Arabidopsis thaliana: one gene and its partners. The protein of the gene in region 1 binds, or shares a complex with, the protein of each later gene. Each region holds a gene or a part of one and is shown in the gene's direction. Other genes may lie near its edges. The genes, in order: MED21, MED32, AT5G03220 and AT3G09180.

Region 1 (4,603 bases):
TTATTTGTTAAAAATCTCTTTTAGATATTAGATATTTTTTATACTTGGACAAAACAAACAAAGATATTAGATATTTTATAATCCGATTTACGGGTTGGTTTCTTGTTTTTGTTAATGAAAAAAAAAATTAGTTTGATCTTTTATTTCAAAAACTTAATAATATTTTATTTTAAAATTTGTTGGTTCATTCATTTCAGTTTAGTTTGGTACACTGAAATCAGTTTTAATTCTTTTTTTTTCTCATCTGAATTATATTAGAAACTAAAGTAGAATACAAGTTGAAATACATAAGCCAACAGACCAACGGAATATTTTGAGAAACTTAGCTGAAAAAAAGGAAGTAAAACCAAAAACATATATAAGGAAACATTTTAAACCAACGAAATTGAATCAAGAGACAAAATTCAAAAGAAAATAAAAAACTATGGGAAAAATAAGACCTAAACTTCTCCTAAAAAATGTGAACGCCGGAAACACCAATAAGATCGGATAGATTTTACACCGAAGTCAAAACTAATAGTAAATCGACAGAGAGGAAAGCAAGAAGCCGCTGAAACCAGAGACATAAGTACAAACACCATCACACCTCACCCACCAGACCGAGATAGCAAAATGTACTAGGGACAAGGCATAAACCTTGAAGATCTACTAGAGATAATTAAAGCACTAGACACAATCAGTATCGATTCTACTTGGGTTAGCTGATTTTCGAGCCATAAACTATTTCGATTCTCAGCTTTCACCCCCGGACTTTTGGGCCCTTAAATTTCCACCATCAACTTTCATATTCCCAAAATTACATCATCTACTTTCGGATTCATGCTTAAACATACATTTCCAATTGAACCATTCATTTAACCGGGATTAACCACAAATCCGCGTTTACTGTACCGCGATTGCGATTAACCCGACTAATACCCAGACCCGTTAAGAAAACGACGTCGTTTTCATTTCGTTTAACTCATCAAAAAGAGAAAGAAAACGACGTCGTTTTCATTCTTCTTCTTCTGCAAAATCGATTTGGTCGATTAGGGTTCTTCATTCGACAATTTTATAAGAAAATGAGCACCAACAGCTACTACTCATCCGCTTCCAGTTCAGGATTTCGTGTCTGTCCTCCTGGTGTCCCCTCGAAATGTTGGTGTGGAGAAGAGATCATTACATTCACATCGAAAACAAAGGAGAATCCATACCGGAGATTCTACCGTTGTGCGATAGCAATGAAGGTACACATTTCGATTTTGTGATATATTTGATTGATTGAAGGAGTAAATGATTGGAAATTATGTTTTATAGAGAGAAAATGAAGAGCACTTGTTCAAATGGGTTGATGAAGCTCTCTTGGACGAAATTAAGATGGTAAATGAGAAGTGTAAGAGAGTTGTAGAGAATATTAGTGACCTCAGAATGAACGTGATGGCTAATATGGAGCTCCTTAATAAAAACGCTAAGCAGATGGAGGAAGAGCTGATTAAGAAGATGGAGGGTGAACTCTTGACCATGAAGGAGAATGTGGAAGAGCTAGGACATGTTATGGCAAAGTCAGCTTTGAAGACTGTAGGGGTTGCTGTTGTGATTGTTGCATCTATTGTATGGCTTTGGGGAAGAGTGTAGGTGTTGTTGAGGTTTTGGAGTGAAATTGTAGTATTGGATTAGTCTCTGTTATAAAATTGTCGAATGAAGAACCCTAATCGACCAAATCGATTTTGCAGAAGAAGAAGAATGAAAACGACGTCGTTTTCTTTCTCTTTTTGATGAGTTAAACGAAATGAAAACGACGTCGTTTTCTTAACGGGTCTGGGTATTAGTCAGGTTAATCGCAATCGCGGTACAGTAAACGCAGATTTGTGGTTAATCCCGGTTAAATGAATGGTTCAATTGGAAATGTATGTTTAAGCATGAATTCGAAAGTAGATGATGTAATTTTGAGGAATATGAAAGTTGATGGTGAAAATTTAAGGGCCCAAAAGTCCGGGGGTGAAAGCTGAGAATCGAAATAGTTTATGGCTCAAAAATCAGCCACCCAATTCTACTTCAGTGTTTTTTTTTTTAATTAGTTGTCAATTAATTAAAGCAGTAGGTTTAAAGAAACAACAGAAATCGTTCCTTACGAATTCTATGGAATTAGGGCCCAAAAATCCAAAGGAAAGGCCACCTTAAAAGCCCATTTTAAAAATCTTCGAGCCCAAACCCAAAACGCAGAACGAAGTTTATTAAGAACAACAAAACGCCCCAATTCGCAGCGATTATCTGTCGTTGCCACACCCAACAGACTCTGCGTCGCCGGAGAAATCTTGTCGACGGGTAAGTCTCTTCGTTAAAGCTTATGCTTCGTTAAATCGATTAGGTCAATTTTTTCCCTGAGGATTCGCCATTTTGATCCTCTCTGAAATCCAACTGGTTTTAAGTGATTTATGCTTTGGCACTAGTTTTGTTGAGAATCTTGTTTGATAAATTCAGGAATTGACCACCAATTTTGTGCCATTTGAATCTCCTAGATCCTCTCTGAACGTTATATCTTGCTTTTGAGTATATGTTAAAAGTCTAATATGTGATTGATTACTGTAAATTTTATACTTGTTCAAGGTCTTTTAAGGTTTTGGAAGATGGATATAATCTCACAGTTGCAAGAACAAGTGAATACGATTGCTGCTATCACTTTCAATGCTTTTGGGACACTGCAAAGGGATGCACCACCAGTCCAGCTTTCACCTAATTATCCTGAACCACCCGCTACAACTACGGTTACTGATGATGCTACGCCTTTTCCTGAGCAACCTAAGCAGCTCAGTGCTGGCTTAGTTAAGGCTGCTAAACAGTTTGATGCTTTGGTTGCTGCACTTCCTTTGTCAGAAGGTGGTGAAGGTGCTCAGCTCAAAAGAATCGCTGAACTCCAGGTCAAACAAGTCACACCGATATGTCGAGTTCTTGAATCCGATTACTTCTATTTGTCTAACCGCTTTGTCCTGTTTTTTCTTCAGGTGGAAAATGATCTTGTTGGTCAAGAACTCCAAAAGCAACTAGAGGCTGCAGGTAAAAAACGATCTTAGGTTTTCACTTCATTGTTGGTGTGTCTTATCTGTCTGTAACTGGAGCAGATTCATTATGCACTTCAAATTTCAATTTGTATACTTTCTTGTTGATACACGCACTATGGTTAGATGTTATCTTTAGTGGTTCTAGAATTTGGAATTTTTGTTTTCCCTTGCAACTGCCTCTGACGATTGAGCTGATGTTAATGGTGTGACCTTGTTTGTGACAGAGAAGGAGCTAAAGCAAGTACAAGAGCTGTTTGGACAAGCTGCTGACAATTGCCTGAACATGAAGAAACCTGAATGAAATGCTTGTTTACCTTTTGTCGAGCTGATTTAGAAACTATATGATTTGGTTCAGCAACAATTATCTTTTAGGTTCATAAGGAATATCTATTCTAAGTTGGTTCACCAAAAAATTGTTGTAGAAGCAATTACAAGAATGTTAGTTAGCTCACAACAACAGAACCATTATTTTAACCTTACACTTTTTTGACCTGTCTGATTACAATCTCAGAGAATCCACTTTATCATTTTCACAATTACAGGCCATGATTGACACATCATGTTTGATTCTCCGGGCAGTGTTGGTCAAATTACTATGATGGTCAAATTACTATGAACTCTGGTATCTGTCACATTCAATCCAAGTTGCTGAAAAGAAATGACCAGTCCATAAGTTGTGGTCCAAAACCGGATCTTGATTGTGTATTTGTACTCAAGCATGTGAAGATATCCTAACTCATCATCCTTCTTGCGCTCTCTCACAAGACTTGTATAGAGTCCAACAATCTTTTGTCTGCGTGATGAAGCTTTAGGATGAAAAGAAAACTTTAGCCAGTCCGATCAATATTATAAATTAACAATTGTATAAATTTACCAATATATATATTTATATAAATATTATATGTAAAATATTTAGTGAAATATGACTCTACTATTGTTTTTCTTTAATTTTTATTAATTTTTTGTAAAGTTCAATTCTAATACTTTTACTATGTGAAAAAAAAAAATTGTATTTTTTTTTTAAACTTAATAATTGTTTTCTACTTATAATCGGATTAAGAAAGATTATTGATTATAAAGAAAAGATCACTTTTAAAATTAAATTTTTGTAAGAAATTATAAAATTTGTAAAATCTCTTTATAAATTGATAATTATTAATTTATCCATAAATTAATTAATTTTCTCGGTCCCAAACAATATTAACTTATAGATGTTTTACGGTAGTTTGTTGATGAAACACTCATATTCTTTTTAGGTTTCTTCTTGTTGGGTGCTTGAGAAAATGCAGACCGACTTTCTTCGATGATATGTTGTACATCTTTATCATCTATTGGAATTTTTTATATCAATGCCTTGGCACCTTCTGAATCCCCTGCAGCTAGTAGAACCTGATACATCCTGCCAAACCATAAACAAGAACCAATGATATACCGAAAACCTCTTGATCTTTTGGAAACTGATGATCTAGTTATCAGAATTGACTGCATCCTCTTGAAACTAATCGAACCCGTAAATCGAAACCCACAGGACATTGTTGAAGAGGAAGACGTTGAGGCAAAGGTGG
Region 2 (4,343 bases), on another chromosome or scaffold:
ATTCTATTTGGTGTTTTCTGTAGTATAAATAGTTACATGTAGTCTTTAAATTTCTGTTGTGATTCTTATCGTTGGCCATTTTTAGGATTTGTTGTATTGGTCAAGGTTTCTCCTGTTTTTTTTTTTTTTAATGGTTTAATTGCTCAAGATTTTAATATAGTCAAGTTAACTATAGAAAGATCACAAGTTTCAGAAGTCAAGTTAACTTTAGAGATTTTAATATAGTCAAGTTAACTATAGAAAGAACACAATTTGTTTGAAGGCATTGTGAGAAAGATAAATTTTTAGAGGTATTGGATTAGGTTGTTTTGGGAAGAGAATAACATGTCTTTCAACCTTTATCTTCCTTTTTTTTGAGGGATCAGTTATTTTTGTTTTCATATTAGAACTTGAGATATTAATGTTCTATAAAACGGTGAATAAAAGACCAAAAATGTTTTATACTACAAAACAAAATTATTTTTGATTCAATCTAGAGAATGAAAAAAAAGAGTTACGACCATGACAAGTTATTTGTTATTCAAAATAAATTTTGTTGAAAATAATTTAATGTTCAGAATATTTGTTCTAAAATACATTTAGAATAACAAATCTTGAAGCGATTTTACACTTCGTTCTAATGACATTAACAAACTGAAAAGATATACAAATATAACGTTTAGCAATCTTTTTACAAAAACATAAGGTTATACTTTTCAGCTAATAAGAGTAGAAGTTATTGTAATGATTTGAGAACAACATGTATTTTCGTGATGCTACTAAATTAATATGTTTTGAGAGTTTATGAATTTTGAGAGTAGTGTTGTTATATGGGATCTGAAGCATCCAACATAGCGAAACATCATTCGTTCCATTTTTTTCGGTGGCATTCTTTCGAATTTGCGTCGAGTGTCACTTTTCTATCTACATAAACCAAAATTCTAGGCACTGAATGTCAAAAAAAAAAAAAAAAAAATCTAGGCACTATAATAAATGCAAGGAGGATGTATAGCTGATATATGATCTTACAAACAAAAACACTTCGAACAAAGGCGAGAACAAGTAATTAAGCAATGTCAAGAGCTTGTGGCGCAAACGTAATGTTTTTTTAATAATGGCATGTTATTTTTTGTTCTTGACGAATTCCTTAAATTGACATGAGGATAACATGCACATAAACAAATTGTCCTTCTTTGAATCATTCTGAAACTTCTCCCTTACACTTTTCTTTGAATGTAAAGAGTGATTCTTACATGAAAACAAAGAGTAATAATAATACTTTACAACTATATCAAATCAAAGATTTGAATAAGCATTTTATAAATATTGGATAAACATAGGAGAGTTTTATCCAACATCCCTAATTCCAATCATACATCTTCCGCATACGGTGTATCAAAGTACTGTGATAGATCCCATCTTCTTGAGCAACATAATTATACGAGCCACCATGAGGCATTCTCTTGTCTTGAACATATGCGTCAAACTTCTTTTGTACCTTGTAATCAGCTCCTTTATACATTGTACACCAGAAAAGTGTTTCTCCCATAACGTCATCGTGGAAACTAAAACCCCAATCTTCTCCAGGTTTCATATATCTTTCACGAACATCATTGTCCCCAGATTTACAACGTACCTTGAGCCATTTGTTGTGAGAAAGACTGTTCCTGAATAACAACGACGTCTTTTTTCCTTTAAATGGATTCGAATGGCCATATGCATTGCTAATCATGCATAGGGCAAAGACAACTAGAAAGATTGAAGTATTTTTCATTTTTTCTTTCTAGATGCTTAGAGGTTTTGTCATCGGAGTAATTTTTTATTTACGGTATTGTATATATAGACATATATGTATGCTATTTTTGAATTTACGTTCTTATTATATATTGCTCTCTTATTATTAGTATTTTCTATTAATGATTTGCGGTATCAAATCGTTTCAAACACAACAATAGATATGGATGGTTGAGTGGAGAACAATATATGGATTTAGATCTTTGAGTAAATATTTCCAAAGAACATTTGTTTTCAACACGGACAGTAATTTGACGTGATACATTTACCAAATACTACCTATTATATTCTGCCAATTCGTTACAAACAGATAAATAATTCGATTAGTATATACATATCTATCGTTTAATTGTGATAACTTTATTATTATATTAACACTAAAGTTGATTAAAATCGTCTTGATTTCGATTAGATGTTTTATTTTATAACATTAAACACACATATTTAAAAGATGAGAAATTAAATTGTATGTATATGGAATTTTAACATTAAAAAAAAAATCCAAATGACCAATCCGGTTTATGTCGGTCCGGTTTGTATTAACCAATCTTAATTTCAATTTTTACCATATAAACCTAACCAGACTATTACAATGAAGAAGAAGAAGAAAGAAAGTGACACAAATCGGACTCTCCGTTCATCGCCGGTAAGTTTCTCCTCTTTATCTCCGGCGGTTTTGGGCTGATTTTTTTAGATTCTGTCTAAAACTGCTCTAATGATTCAATTCCTTCACGAGTTTACGGATTCTATGCCGTGAATTTGAACCCTAGGTTTGCGAAAGCAATCGCGAGTTTTGCAATTTCGTTAAATTTCTGTCTCAAAGATGTAATCTTTTTGATCATTTAGCTTCCATTGCTACCGTAGCATCTTATTCTTTCCCTGAGGTTTTGAGTTCTCTCATTCTATGTGTAGCGTTAACGAGAACGAATTAAGATTTTTTGAGGTTTTTAGGGTTTCTTATTTCCAGATACTTTTGCTGGGATCTTACTTGATTCCTTTTGCAGTTTTTTCTTGTTTAACTTGAAATCTCATGATTGATACTTGGTTTGAGCAGTTATTTGAAGGGGAGGGATCAAATGGATAACATTGTGGACTCATTGAACAAAGCTTATGAGAAGTTTGTTCTTGCTTCAGCTGGTGTTCTTGAGTCTAAAGAGAGTGCAGGTGGACAAAAAGCTTTGCTCACTGATACTGCGTTGGAGAATTTCAAGGAGAAATGGGAACTGTTCCGTGTGGCTTGTGATCAAGCAGAGGAGTTTGTGGAGTCAGTTAAGCAGAGAATTGGATCTGAGTGTTTAGTTGATGAGGCTACTGGTTTAACTACTACTGCAGCAGGTGGCCAAGCACCAGCAGCGGTGACTGGTGCTGCGACTAGTCTCCCTCCCATTAGTGCAGTAAGGCTTGAACAGATGAGTAGAGCGGTTCGATGGCTTGTTCTTGAGCTGCAACGTGGCTCTGGTGTAGCTCCTGGTTCTGTTCATTCATCCTCTACCGGGTTTGATTCTAGATTCTCTGAAGACTCGACTCAATAGCGTGCCTAGTTAGTGTTAAGTTCGACAACCGCAGCTCCATAACTCTCGAGTCAGTCGTTGTGATGGGAAGAGTGGCCTAATCAGTGTTATGTTCTGTTATTTCATGGGATTGAGCCAAGCTAGAAGCAACACTGGGGGTATCATTTAGGACTTATGACTCTTACTAAATATTGGGCTTTTTATTCTGAATCTCAAGTAAAGAAGCTGTTCTTTTTTTGTGTGATTCTTCATATGTTATTATGTTTCTGTTGTTTCAAAAAGAATACTAATTTTGATCTTGTACATGATGTGTTTTTGGTTTTGTATTAACCATGATTATCAAGAGTTTAAAAATGTAAACGAACTAGTATAATTTTGAGTTTTGATTACCTCACGTTCACAGCAAAATCGTGATAAACGTAACAAAAACATGAACACTCACAACAAAACCGTGACAAGAAAAGTTAGAAACACACTTAAGACTTAAGTTATAGGGTTTGAACCCGAGACGTCTCACACTCCTCTCAGATAACAGAGTTAGTTTCGCAAACTAGAGTGATTTTTTGCTAAGGTTTAAGCAAACGAATCGCCAAAACCAGGATACAGAGGCTAATAAGATCATCTTCAAAAGTGTCTCACTTTTTCTAACCTCGCCTCCAAAGATTCTTCCTTTTCCGATTCCGATGAAAAGGAATTTTGGGTTTTAGGAAAGTTCGATTGGTTGGTTTGGAAACATCTCCCTAACACACGCAGCAAACACCTTCGTTGTTTACGGAGACAGTCACTTTTTGTGTACGTCTCTCTTCTCTTTGTTAATTCTGATTTCTGACAACCCTTTTGTTCAAATTTCTTCTGATTCTGTTGTGTGTTTTCTGATTTTTCAGATATATGGATTCGAATCAATCGATGCGGCTCCTCAGTGCTTGGATTGGTCAAGTGAGATTTTTTTTTGTATTCCTTGATCATTGACAGGCTTTAGCTCATTAATGCTTCAACAAGGCCTATGGAATTAAGTGTTTAAGAACAATTTGGTGTTGCCAATTTGAGTCTTCAAGCCAT
Region 3 (4,543 bases), on another chromosome or scaffold:
GAGTTCAATAGATCTTAGCATTCGTTTATCTTCTTCATATGACCCCCATGGAATTATGAAATTTAGTTATTTTTTTGCTACAGTTTTTAAATTAACACCAATGAAATACATAAATTGACCCCTATGATCATTCCTTTATACATTTTGACCCCTAGAGCTGCAAGTTCTAGTTCCGCCACTGCCTATTTCTCTGTAGATTTCTGTAAAAATTGAAGTAACCACACAACAACCAAAATTCAACATATTTGAAACACACAAAAATATAAAATATTATTGATCATATCCAAAAAAGAAAAAGAAAAATAGACGATGATCAAAAACTCCAAAAAACAAAAATAACGCCAAAAGGAAATCGGAAAAATTCTCCTTCGGACCGAAACTATAACGATCCTCTAAACCCCTCCAATAAAAAAACACCAAGTCCTTACTTAAGATCTCTAAGTAATTAAAAGTTTACCTATAGAGAGTTATAATTAATTACATACTTATTATATTACTAATCCTGAAACCCAATCTTCTCCCAAATCGCGTTCCTCAATCGCCTTAGATCTCTTCCTTTCGCCGTCCCACCGATTCCTTCGTGCACCGTGAACGACGATCCTCTCCGTCTTGCCAAATACTCGTGCGGCGGAATCATCCGTCTCCCACCGTCGTTGCTATCGTCATCATCCTCGTCATCGTCGTCACTGTCATCGTCAGGTATCGCATGACCTCTATACTCACTCTTCAAGATCTTAGACCAATCGGGGATATTAACCGGAAGCGAACCGGTCTTTGTAATCTCCCGGTTACCTGAATCTCCGGTTTTCGTCGGTTTTCTCCGTAACCGAGAGATTGATATCGATCTTTTCGCGTCGAATGAATTCGGCAATTGATGATCGCCTAAGTTATGAATATCAGATTCGTCGAATTCAAAGACATTCTCATCGGACATCTCTGGTTTTGGTTCTGGATAGATATATTTAGGTTTGACAAAAAAAAGCTTCCTTGACGCCATTGATGAAAAACAGAGCGTGTAAAGAAGAATAAAAGAAAGATGATGTTTTTATGAAAACTGGATTCTGGGTTTTGATCAGCTTGTAGAAAAAATCTGAGAGGGTTTTTGTGAAATTTGAGATTGAAGGAGAAATGTGTTGAGATGATCATTTTTATAGAGAAATGTAGTAAAGAGATAAGCTCTCTCATTGGGTTAAACTTATGTGAGTTTATGACTTACACAGTAAACGACAAAAGTACAAAAGAAGATAAAAAAAAAAGTTTATAAGGTGTGGCAAGTCTCACGTTCTTATCGTGAGCTCTCTTTTTTTGTTTCACTCGTCCTTTGTTTTTCTTTTTCTTAAATAGTAAAAACTTTATGAGTTTATGATCAAAATGATGATGTTAATGGAATTTTTATCTTCGTCTTTGATTTAATTTAAGTTATCTTAAGATTTAATGTTGTTAGATATGATTTTTTTAGCTGTTTTAATTTTTTTTTGTTATTAAAATATTTGTTAATTTCTATTTAAATTGACAAAAAAATCTAGAATACACAAAAAATATATTTATTTATTATAAAGTAAAAATATTTACTATTTTTTAAATGTAAAAACGTAAGAATAACATCATTAGTGGGGTGATTAATCACATCCAAACAGCAGAAATCGAATTAAACTGAAAAGCCATTGTTTTAATTAAACCGAAACTAAACCAAAAGAAACCAGACTTATACGAACCGTCCGAACACGTAACCGAAAATTTACGAGAAAATCAAAACTCGTTTCGTCATTATTGACCTCTTGCTCTACGCCGTCTTCTCCAAAGCAAAATCAAAAGCTTCTTCGATCTTATTCTCGTCTGGTTATAATTTCCGATTCTGCATTCCCAATAGGTTCGTGTTTTTGTTAACCCTAATTTCTCTTTGTACCATGGTTGCAAATTTTATCCAGAATCGTTGGAGTAAAGTCTTAGATTTTGGATTGAATCGTTTGTTGCATCGATTAGAAACCTTAATTTTAGGAATCTGTTACTGATTTTGCTTAGTTTTTTATTTGGATCTGTAGGGAATAATGGCTACAGCTACGTATCCGCCTCCTCCACCATATTACAGACTCTACAAGGATTACTCAGAAAACCCTAATTCTGCTCCTGAACCTCCTCCTCCGATTGAAGGCACCTACGTCTGTTTTGGAGGCAACTATACTGTGAGTCTCCTCCACATTTCCCCCTCTTTAAAATCTTCATCTTTATGTGTTTTAGTAGTTTTCATTTTTTTTGGTTCGTAGACTGAAGATGTTCTTCCAAGCTTAGAAGAACAAGGAGTGCCTCAACTTTATCCCAAAGATTCTAATCTTGGTATGTCATTGTTTTAGCTTTGTGAATCAAACTCAAAACCCAATTGTTATTTGCTTTCTAGAGTACGGTTTTTGGTTCTTCCCTTAATTGGAATCAAACTTATTACATGAGTTCATTTGCCTCTTTGTTTCGTTGAAGAAAGTTTCAAATATCTTTGTGTGTAGATTACAAGAATGAACTCAGGTCACTGAATAGAGAACTACAGTTACATATATTGGAGCTTGCTGATGTTCTTGTTGACAGACCTTCTCAATATGCGAAGAGGATTGGTGAAATTTCTTCTATCTTCAAGAATTTGCATCACCTTCTCAATTCCTTGAGGCCTCACCAAGTAAAGAAGATCTCATCTTCGCTTAACTACAACATGATTTCATCAGTTTTTGTTTTCACTGTTTTGATCATCTTCTCTTATGTCCAGGCGAGAGCAACGCTTATTCACATTATGGAACTTCAAATTCAACAGAGGAAACAAGCTGTGGAAGACATTAAAAGGTGTGCATATTTTGTTTGTATACTGTACTTAATGGTGTGCTTATATCAATCCATCATCTGTTCAAAGATTTTTCAGAAACTTTGTTGGTAGTTCTTATGGGTCCGTTTGATGTTTTTGGTTGTGCGCAGAAGAAGAGAAGAAGCACAGCGACTTCTAAAGGATGCTTACCTCACTTTAGATGGTCAATAGAGTCTTTTTTTGTGTGTGTAAATTAGCAATTAATAATCTGTCTGTTATTGTTATTGACCTTCGAAGCTTATTATAATTTGTTAACACTAAAACAAAGTTAATTTGACAATCAACTAAGACTGAATAGTATGAGGATTGTATTAATTAGACCATAATTAACCGGGTTTTCTTTTGAAGGAAAAGAGAAAGAATAAACCGGTGATACAACCGAAACGGAACTATGATATATCGAACATACATTTGATGTGAATGGATCTGTCAATATCTCGAATAAAGAATTTGATTTAAGCAGTTGATTGACACCTGAACCGATGTTTTAGAAACTCATAGAAATACAAATTAAAAATAAATGTTCAGTTTATCCAATTGCAATTAGCCAGTTTCATTTCTTTTAGTTTTATCCAATCTAAAAACTCATTGCAGTTAATTTCAATAATATGACTCTATTGTGTATGAGGATTACTAGTGGGATTGTCCACAGAGGAACATGGCCCAACTCTGTGCACACATTATTGGATAGTCCAAAGATGAATGACACGTCGGATTATTACACCTCTATTCAGTAAACAAAATTGACACGTCCGATTACTTCACGTGGACTAAATAGGGACATGCCTTGTTCACTTACTTAAATAGTTTCTATCAAAATAAATAGCAAATTGTGGAATCATTTTTTGTTTCCACAATGACTCATTTTCTTTATCAATCTTGTATTTTTGTCAACCATATATCAAGATAAAACAAAAACATAGTGTTTAAAAAAGAATTATAATTTATTTATTTAGTGTTCAGCTGTTTGATATGACTTTCTTTAAATTATAATAATACAAAATAATTACATATAATTTAAAATACACCTGATAATAAAAGGATTACGTGGGCCAATAATAGGTGAGATATCACTTGTCAACATAAGTTGGCCCACTGGACCTCATCTCAATTTGAAAATTACGGATATTTCAGGCGTCAGTATCGCGACACGTCACTCAGCTCTCCAATTTTTTCATTCTCTTGATGCTGAAAGACGAAAATGGACAAAAGAGACCAGATATTAACGACGCTTGGTACATCTTGCGAAATACTACTAATATTTTACCAAATGCATGATGGACAAAATGAAAATGCAATAGCCAACAAATTACAAGTAGATGATATTATTGTAGAAACAGGAAACATATTATAATTGGTAAATCTGTTGGACAATAATCTGAACATAACAAAACATGTGGGGGACTCGAATAAATTTTATAGCTAGGGTCATATATAAAAGGACATTCACTTTTTGTTTAGATATATTCTTTGTAATTTTGTATAGACGTTCATTGCCATTATTGTAAACAATAAACATAAATAACCAATGCATTATGCATTATAGATATAATTGTAGGTTAATATATAGCAATGAAAATAGGTGGATTTAATCCTTATAAAATCTTTTAAAAAATCTAGATTCATAACTAGTTGTGTATAATACATATGTCAATTCTACAAAATTCACAACTAGATAATAAGAGCATCTCCATTAGT
Region 4 (5,659 bases), on another chromosome or scaffold:
TACACAATCTTTCTACACCAAATACAAAGAACAAGCTTTACAACAATAGAATTACCATGCCACTTTGGTCGATAGTTCGTGCATCATGCACATTGATGTTCAAACTCAGCCCCAATACATACTGAACCAGCTTCTCGACTGGAATGGTTGGGTCTAGAATGTTAAACACCGAGTCTGCCGTGTATATAATAGCTGGACAACATGCCACTGTCACAAGAACTAAGGCATGAGGAAACCCTTGTATAGCTGTGGTATCTTGTGCAAGCTCCTTGGCTGTTCTTTGCTTGGCGCTTCGAATAGTCGCGAGAAACGAAGTTCTACCCCAAGGATATTTAAGAAAGGATTCTACATCTTTTACCATCTCTACATGGTCAGGATCGATGATAGTTCGCGAACATGTCGGGCAAAGAATCCCATCAACTAGTAGCAGCAACGATAGGCGAAATCGAGTCAACGGGTCTTTGTATTTCTTCCCCATAGATAGCTTCCCAACAATCCATTGTGAAGTAGGCTTTCTCTCTTTCCCAAATAATGCCTTGTAGAACCTCGTAGGATTCTGAACCGCTTTCATTTTCCCTCTTGTCCTTGCATCCTTTTTGTTGAATCCAGATTTGCTGCAGTTAAGCCCGGTAACAAGTGCAAAATCATCAATGGCAAATCGAATTGGCTTCCCTGCAAACACCCACCACATTTCATACTTCTTATCTGTCACCAACTGCCTAGATAGAATGTAATGTAAGAACATTACAGAAAACTGATGCGTCCCCATTTGCAACAGAAATCCAAACTGCGAACCCTCCAGCTGCTTCAAATGGTTTTGATCTAGAGCAGCCTTGATGATCTCAATCCACCTAAGAGTAAAGTAATTGTTTATCCTCTTTCGGCCCTCAGGTTCAGAACCTAGCCGAAACAAACGCTTTGGCAACTCTACATCCCCCATGGAACAGATACACTGAAATACAAATGTCCACGTATCACTTTTTTGATGCTGCTACTTACACAAATACAAAATATATAAATCTTAGATGTAAATATATGTTATTAACAGACTCAACCAATATAGCCTCAGCTTTCCGTTACTATCAACAACAACAAATGGATTACATAGAAGTTGAGTTAAATATTAAACCTTCATAACACCAATTAGTGGAATATCGGATTAACCAGCAAAGATTCACTAACTAAAGCTACTCAAATCCGAGTTTATGCTATTCAATACTGCAAATAAAACTAAAAATGTCATTAACACATACAACCAATTTGAGTAGCTTCCGTTACTATCAACAAACACAAATGGATTACATTGAAGTAGAGTTAAATCCTAAACCTTCATAACAATTACAAATGAATATCGTATTAACCAAGCAGATTCCCTACCTAAAGCTACTCAAATCCGAGTTTATGCTATTCAAGCTCTTCAACACAAATTAAAAAGATTTTCCCAAAAGCCAAAAAATGGCATTTCATACCTTAATTTGGCTGAATCCCTTCGCCGACACCAATTGCCACAGAAATTCGAGTGTTACAGTGGAGACGACGGAGATATAAACACCTCTACTCCCGTACAACAAAACTCACTCAAGTACTCTCAACGGAATCAAAAACCCTCGATTGAGAAAAGAGCCAACATAAGTGTTGTACGAAACTCGGATGCTTAGATAGGCTCCTCCTCCAATTGCAGAAGATTTATGCAGTCCGATTGCCAGAAATCGAAGCCTCCACAGTCCCCAAATCGAAACCCACAAATTCAATCTTCGTAAACTCTAGAATCGTCACTCGGATTGCACACGCAGTCTGCTCTTCGAAACTTTCCCGGGTGTCGCTTTTTAAAGCCCAGAATTTTCAGATTTTCTTACTGTAACTTCTCTGAATGTTCACCTCTATTTGAATTTTTACAGAGTAATACATAGAAGTTATCGATTGAAAACTCAGAAGAAGAAGAATAAGCGCGTGTGCTCACGCACGGGTTAAGTTTGTCAATATTGCATAAAGTTCAATACATATTGGTTGAAGTGTTAGTTTTGCAATTATAATTTTTTTGTTGGCTATATTTGCAAATTTCCCATTTTTTTACATGTACAAACTAAAAAAAAAAAAATATTAAAGTGAACAAACTGTACATATGGGCTAAAAACTAAAAGTCCCACAAACATTGAGATTACAAAATACATTTTCAGTCCAACATGAGCCATAAAGCATTGCTTAATGGAGTAAAACTCAATTTAACAGAGTGGAATAAATTAAACAAAATAAGACGTGAAGGAGCAGAAGCAAGCATATCAACAAAAACGCCTTTGAAACGCAAACGCTACAAAATTGCGTCTGGCGTTACAGTAGATTGAGATTTGAACGTGAAATTCTCCGAGTCCAGAAACATTCCTCTCCTTCCGTCGTCGTCAAGAAGATCAATTTCATTGAAATCGAAAGAGTGTGCTTGAATCACAGCTTATGCAGACGCTACACCAGTCCCAACTTCTCCAGAATCCGGCCGAGGCGGCGAACAATCAGTCTGAATCGGACGCGCCGCCGAAACAGGTGGCTCAGGCCATGGAACGACTCAATCAAGCGGCTAGGGTTATCGCCGATATCCGCCTCGGCGCTGACCGTATCCTTGAAGCTATGTTCGTGGCTTCGCAACCTCGTCACACAGACATGCCTCTTCAGCTCTTTCTCAGAGAAGACGCCTCCATGCGTCAACATCTTCAGGATCTTCGCTTAATAGGTGCTGAACCAAAACTGAATCATTTTCATTAGTATTGATTGATTCTCTAGATTAGGGCTTTTAAGGATCGATCAATGTTTATTGCTTGGTTCAGGGAAGAAATTGGAAGAATCTGGAGTGTTAACTGAATCACTTAGGTCAAGAAGTAACTCTTGGGGTCTTCACATGCCTTTGGTTTGTCCAGATGGTGCAGTCGTTGCTTATGCTTGGAAAAGACAGCTTGCTGGCCAAGCTGGTGCTTCTGCTGTTGATAGAACCAGGTATCAGATTCGTTGCTAATCATTTTAAAGCATACTTAGGGTTTAGGTTCGAGTCTGCATATTAGGGCTGTTAGTGAAGCTTGGTGGTACCAACTTGGAGTTTCATCAGCTAACCAATTCTACTGAATCTCATGCATTCTCCATTTTCTCGCGTTGTGTATAATGACTGTAGGTTAGCTCTCAAGGCCTTCACGGATCAGAAAAGACGATTCTTCCCTCATATTGATGATGGATTAAAGATGGAACCAAGCTCAAAAAAACATCGTGCCTCCCATTTGCTATTAGAAAATGGAAGAGAGGAGCCGGTTGATTACAAAACATTGCCAGATATACAATCGCGTTTAGAGAAGCTGGTTCCGAGTGTGAAGGTGTCTACTTATGGACGATTGAACTGGCTTAAAAGAGCTAACTCTTTACCTGGGTCAGGTAGTGATGATCCTACAGAAGCATCGAAACCTATTTTCCAGAGTTCTAGCAAGCTGAGATCAGGGTTACAGACTGAAGTTGTCGACAAGATTGCTGTTATTGAGTTATCATTTCCTTCTCTATTCAGAGCTATAGTCTCGTTGAGTCCAGCGGGTTCTGTTGATCCAGATGCAGTTGCTTTCTTCTCCCCAGATGAGGTCACTTCCAACCTCCTTGCATTAAAATATACTGATTCTCATGTGAAATTGTTTAAGTTCTCATGTTTTAGCTTCATCCCTTTCTTACAGGGAGGCAGCTACTTACATGCGAGAGGCTTCTCGGTTTATCATGTTTACAAACACATAACGGTAATAAAGATGCGATTGATATTATATATAGTTTAACAAATTTGATTCATTGGGGACTTGCATTAATTAGATTTTTCTTGCAGGAACATGCTGCTACAGCCTTGCAATATTTCCTCGGCTTTGGTACTGGAACAGCTCTCTACTCTCTTCTGGTAAAGCATTTTACAAGCACACTTCAGTCTCTGGATAACATGAACCTTTTTTGTCTGGAAGTTAATTAACACCTTTCTCTTCTTCTTATGCAGCTATGGATATGCAGTTTTGAATCCGTATTTAGCAAACCTTGCACGTATGCAGACTCTCCGTAATTCTTCTAATACATTTGTTTCCCGTGGACTAACTTTTCATTTCTCTTCTGATGATGCAGTAAATGTGGAAGGCTATTAGCAATGGATAAAAAGTCTGCGTTAATCTTACCTCCTTTACACCGCGCTTACCAAGAATTGCCTCTTGCATTAAACCTGGACGTTTGTGAAGCTTACCACTCCAGTTGCTCTCAAGATGATACCTAGTACTCTAGTGATTAGGGAGGATCAATTAAAAGAAAGGTTAGAAATAAGTTCTAATAACATTTTGTATGGATCTTTAGTATCTGCTCTTCTCCTTGATATACCTCTTGTTTGTTGTTGATGTCCCATGTTGAGGTTTAGATTAACTTTCTTTCTTTCTACTCTCTGGTAACATGTGAATGTTGTCTTCTTTCTAGAGATTTGATCTTTGTTCACGAGATGACTGAACAGAGACCTTTTTTTTTAACTCGGTTCACATTACTCTGTTGCAGTCAGCATCAAAGTGAGAAAAAGACAGTGGGTGTTGATTTTTGCTTCCGATCCAGAAATATAAAACATGTTAAATGCAAGATCAATAAATTAAGTTATTTTGCAAGATCAAATAAGCTTACGGCTTCTTTCATAGAGATTGTACATGTGAAACCTGCAACTAACGAAGCAAATAAAAGAAAACACTAAATAAAGATAACACCAGAGGAAGTGGAAGAAGGTACTACATTTACACTACAACAAGACAACCTTCTTAAACCAAAGCCAAAGCCAAACAAACTTCTCATTACTTCTTGCCATCTTTAACTGCAACGACCACAATGCTCACTGCACATTCCTCTGGAACCACGGCCATTGACCGCCTAACACTGCAAATAGTCCAAAGATACATAGCTGACATTGCCCCTACGGCTCCACATACTGCAGCCAAGACCAGAGCACCAAGCATTCTCCATATACACTCACTATTTTCTCGGCCCTCTTCCATTTCCGTGGAAACGTCCGGCTTCAAACCTTCATTTGGTCCTAATGGCGCTGGTTGCACCCATATCGGATCAAGATGCCATATTTCAAAGCTCCATGAATGGAGAAAATGTGGCTTGGAAGAGTTCCCATTAGCAGAGCTTAAACCCACCATGACTTCACCACCTTTCCAAAGCTTCTCCAAGTCTACCGAGAAAGAGAAGAACGGATCAAACATCTTTATCGAACCACGTTTTCTGAAACGAACCCTCATTCTCTTAGAACTTGCCTCATAATCAATCATACAGCTCAAAATCCCTCCATCATCCATCATCAAGTCACCCACAAACGAAAGGTTTCTAATTTTGGCAGACTCAGGTCTACCAATTAAGACTCTTGCACGGTTTCCTCTCTTGGAGATATCAAACTCAAAAGCAACAACTGTCTCGTTCTTTGCATACTCTAATAGAAACCCTAAAGCAGAGGAACTGTAATCTTTCTTACCAAACAGACTAAGATCCAAAGTACTTGGAACCATTACAAAAGCCAAGACATCACCAATCTCATTGGGCATCGAAAACGAGAAGTAAGTCGAGAAAATAACGGAGTTCCTCTCTTTACCTTGGAATAGATTGATGGGTTTCTTGTAAAAGACTCGTCCCT

The links.
Region 2: MED21 (region 1) and MED32 share a complex: the UniProt entries of both Arabidopsis thaliana proteins name them as parts of the mediator complex.
Region 3: MED21 (region 1) and AT5G03220 share a complex: the UniProt entries of both Arabidopsis thaliana proteins name them as parts of the mediator complex.
Region 4: MED21 (region 1) and AT3G09180 share a complex: the UniProt entries of both Arabidopsis thaliana proteins name them as parts of the mediator complex.

What each region holds. Positions count from the first base shown.
Region 1 is NC_003075.7:2,430,059-2,434,661, forward strand, and holds MED21 (mediator 21), read left to right. Parts: upstream 1-2,193; 5' UTR 2,194-2,304; intron 2,305-2,586; 5' UTR 2,587-2,606; coding exon 2,607-2,897; intron 2,898-2,981; coding exon 2,982-3,033; intron 3,034-3,262; coding exon 3,263-3,339; 3' UTR 3,340-3,577; downstream 3,578-4,603. Other genes in the region: AT4G04775 (zinc ion binding protein), read left to right, coding at 1,062-1,226, 1,297-1,614. UniProt on the Arabidopsis thaliana protein: Component of the Mediator complex, a coactivator involved in the regulated transcription of nearly all RNA polymerase II-dependent genes.
Region 2 is NC_003070.9:3,971,318-3,975,660, reverse strand, and holds MED32 (mediator of RNA polymerase II transcription subunit-like protein), read left to right. Parts: upstream 1-2,366; 5' UTR 2,367-2,419; intron 2,420-2,827; 5' UTR 2,828-2,849; coding exon 2,850-3,305; 3' UTR 3,306-3,675; downstream 3,676-4,343. Other genes in the region: AT1G11765 (Plant self-incompatibility protein S1 family), read right to left, coding at 1,340-1,753; LEW1 (Undecaprenyl pyrophosphate synthetase family protein), read left to right, coding at 4,173-4,220. UniProt on the Arabidopsis thaliana protein: Component of the Mediator complex, a coactivator involved in the regulated transcription of nearly all RNA polymerase II-dependent genes.
Region 3 is NC_003076.8:766,090-770,632, reverse strand, and holds AT5G03220 (Mediator complex, subunit Med7), read left to right. Parts: upstream 1-1,715; 5' UTR 1,716-1,870; intron 1,871-2,042; 5' UTR 2,043-2,048; coding exon 2,049-2,183; intron 2,184-2,264; coding exon 2,265-2,334; intron 2,335-2,498; coding exon 2,499-2,665; intron 2,666-2,752; coding exon 2,753-2,826; intron 2,827-2,955; coding exon 2,956-3,016; 3' UTR 3,017-3,198; downstream 3,199-4,543. Other genes in the region: AT5G03230 (senescence regulator (Protein of unknown function, DUF584)), read right to left, coding at 497-997. UniProt on the Arabidopsis thaliana protein: Component of the Mediator complex, a coactivator involved in the regulated transcription of nearly all RNA polymerase II-dependent genes.
Region 4 is NC_003074.8:2,816,830-2,822,488, forward strand, and holds AT3G09180 (mediator of RNA polymerase II transcription subunit), read left to right. Parts: upstream 1-2,264; 5' UTR 2,265-2,448; coding exon 2,449-2,722; intron 2,723-2,816; coding exon 2,817-2,982; intron 2,983-3,154; coding exon 3,155-3,605; intron 3,606-3,695; coding exon 3,696-3,755; intron 3,756-3,838; coding exon 3,839-3,907; intron 3,908-4,000; coding exon 4,001-4,044; coding exon of another isoform or gene 4,045-4,063; exon of another isoform or gene 4,064-4,122; coding exon 4,123-4,267; 3' UTR 4,268-4,596; downstream 4,597-5,659. Other genes in the region: AT3G09190 (Concanavalin A-like lectin family protein), read right to left, coding at 4,821-5,659. UniProt on the Arabidopsis thaliana protein: Component of the Mediator complex, a coactivator involved in the regulated transcription of nearly all RNA polymerase II-dependent genes.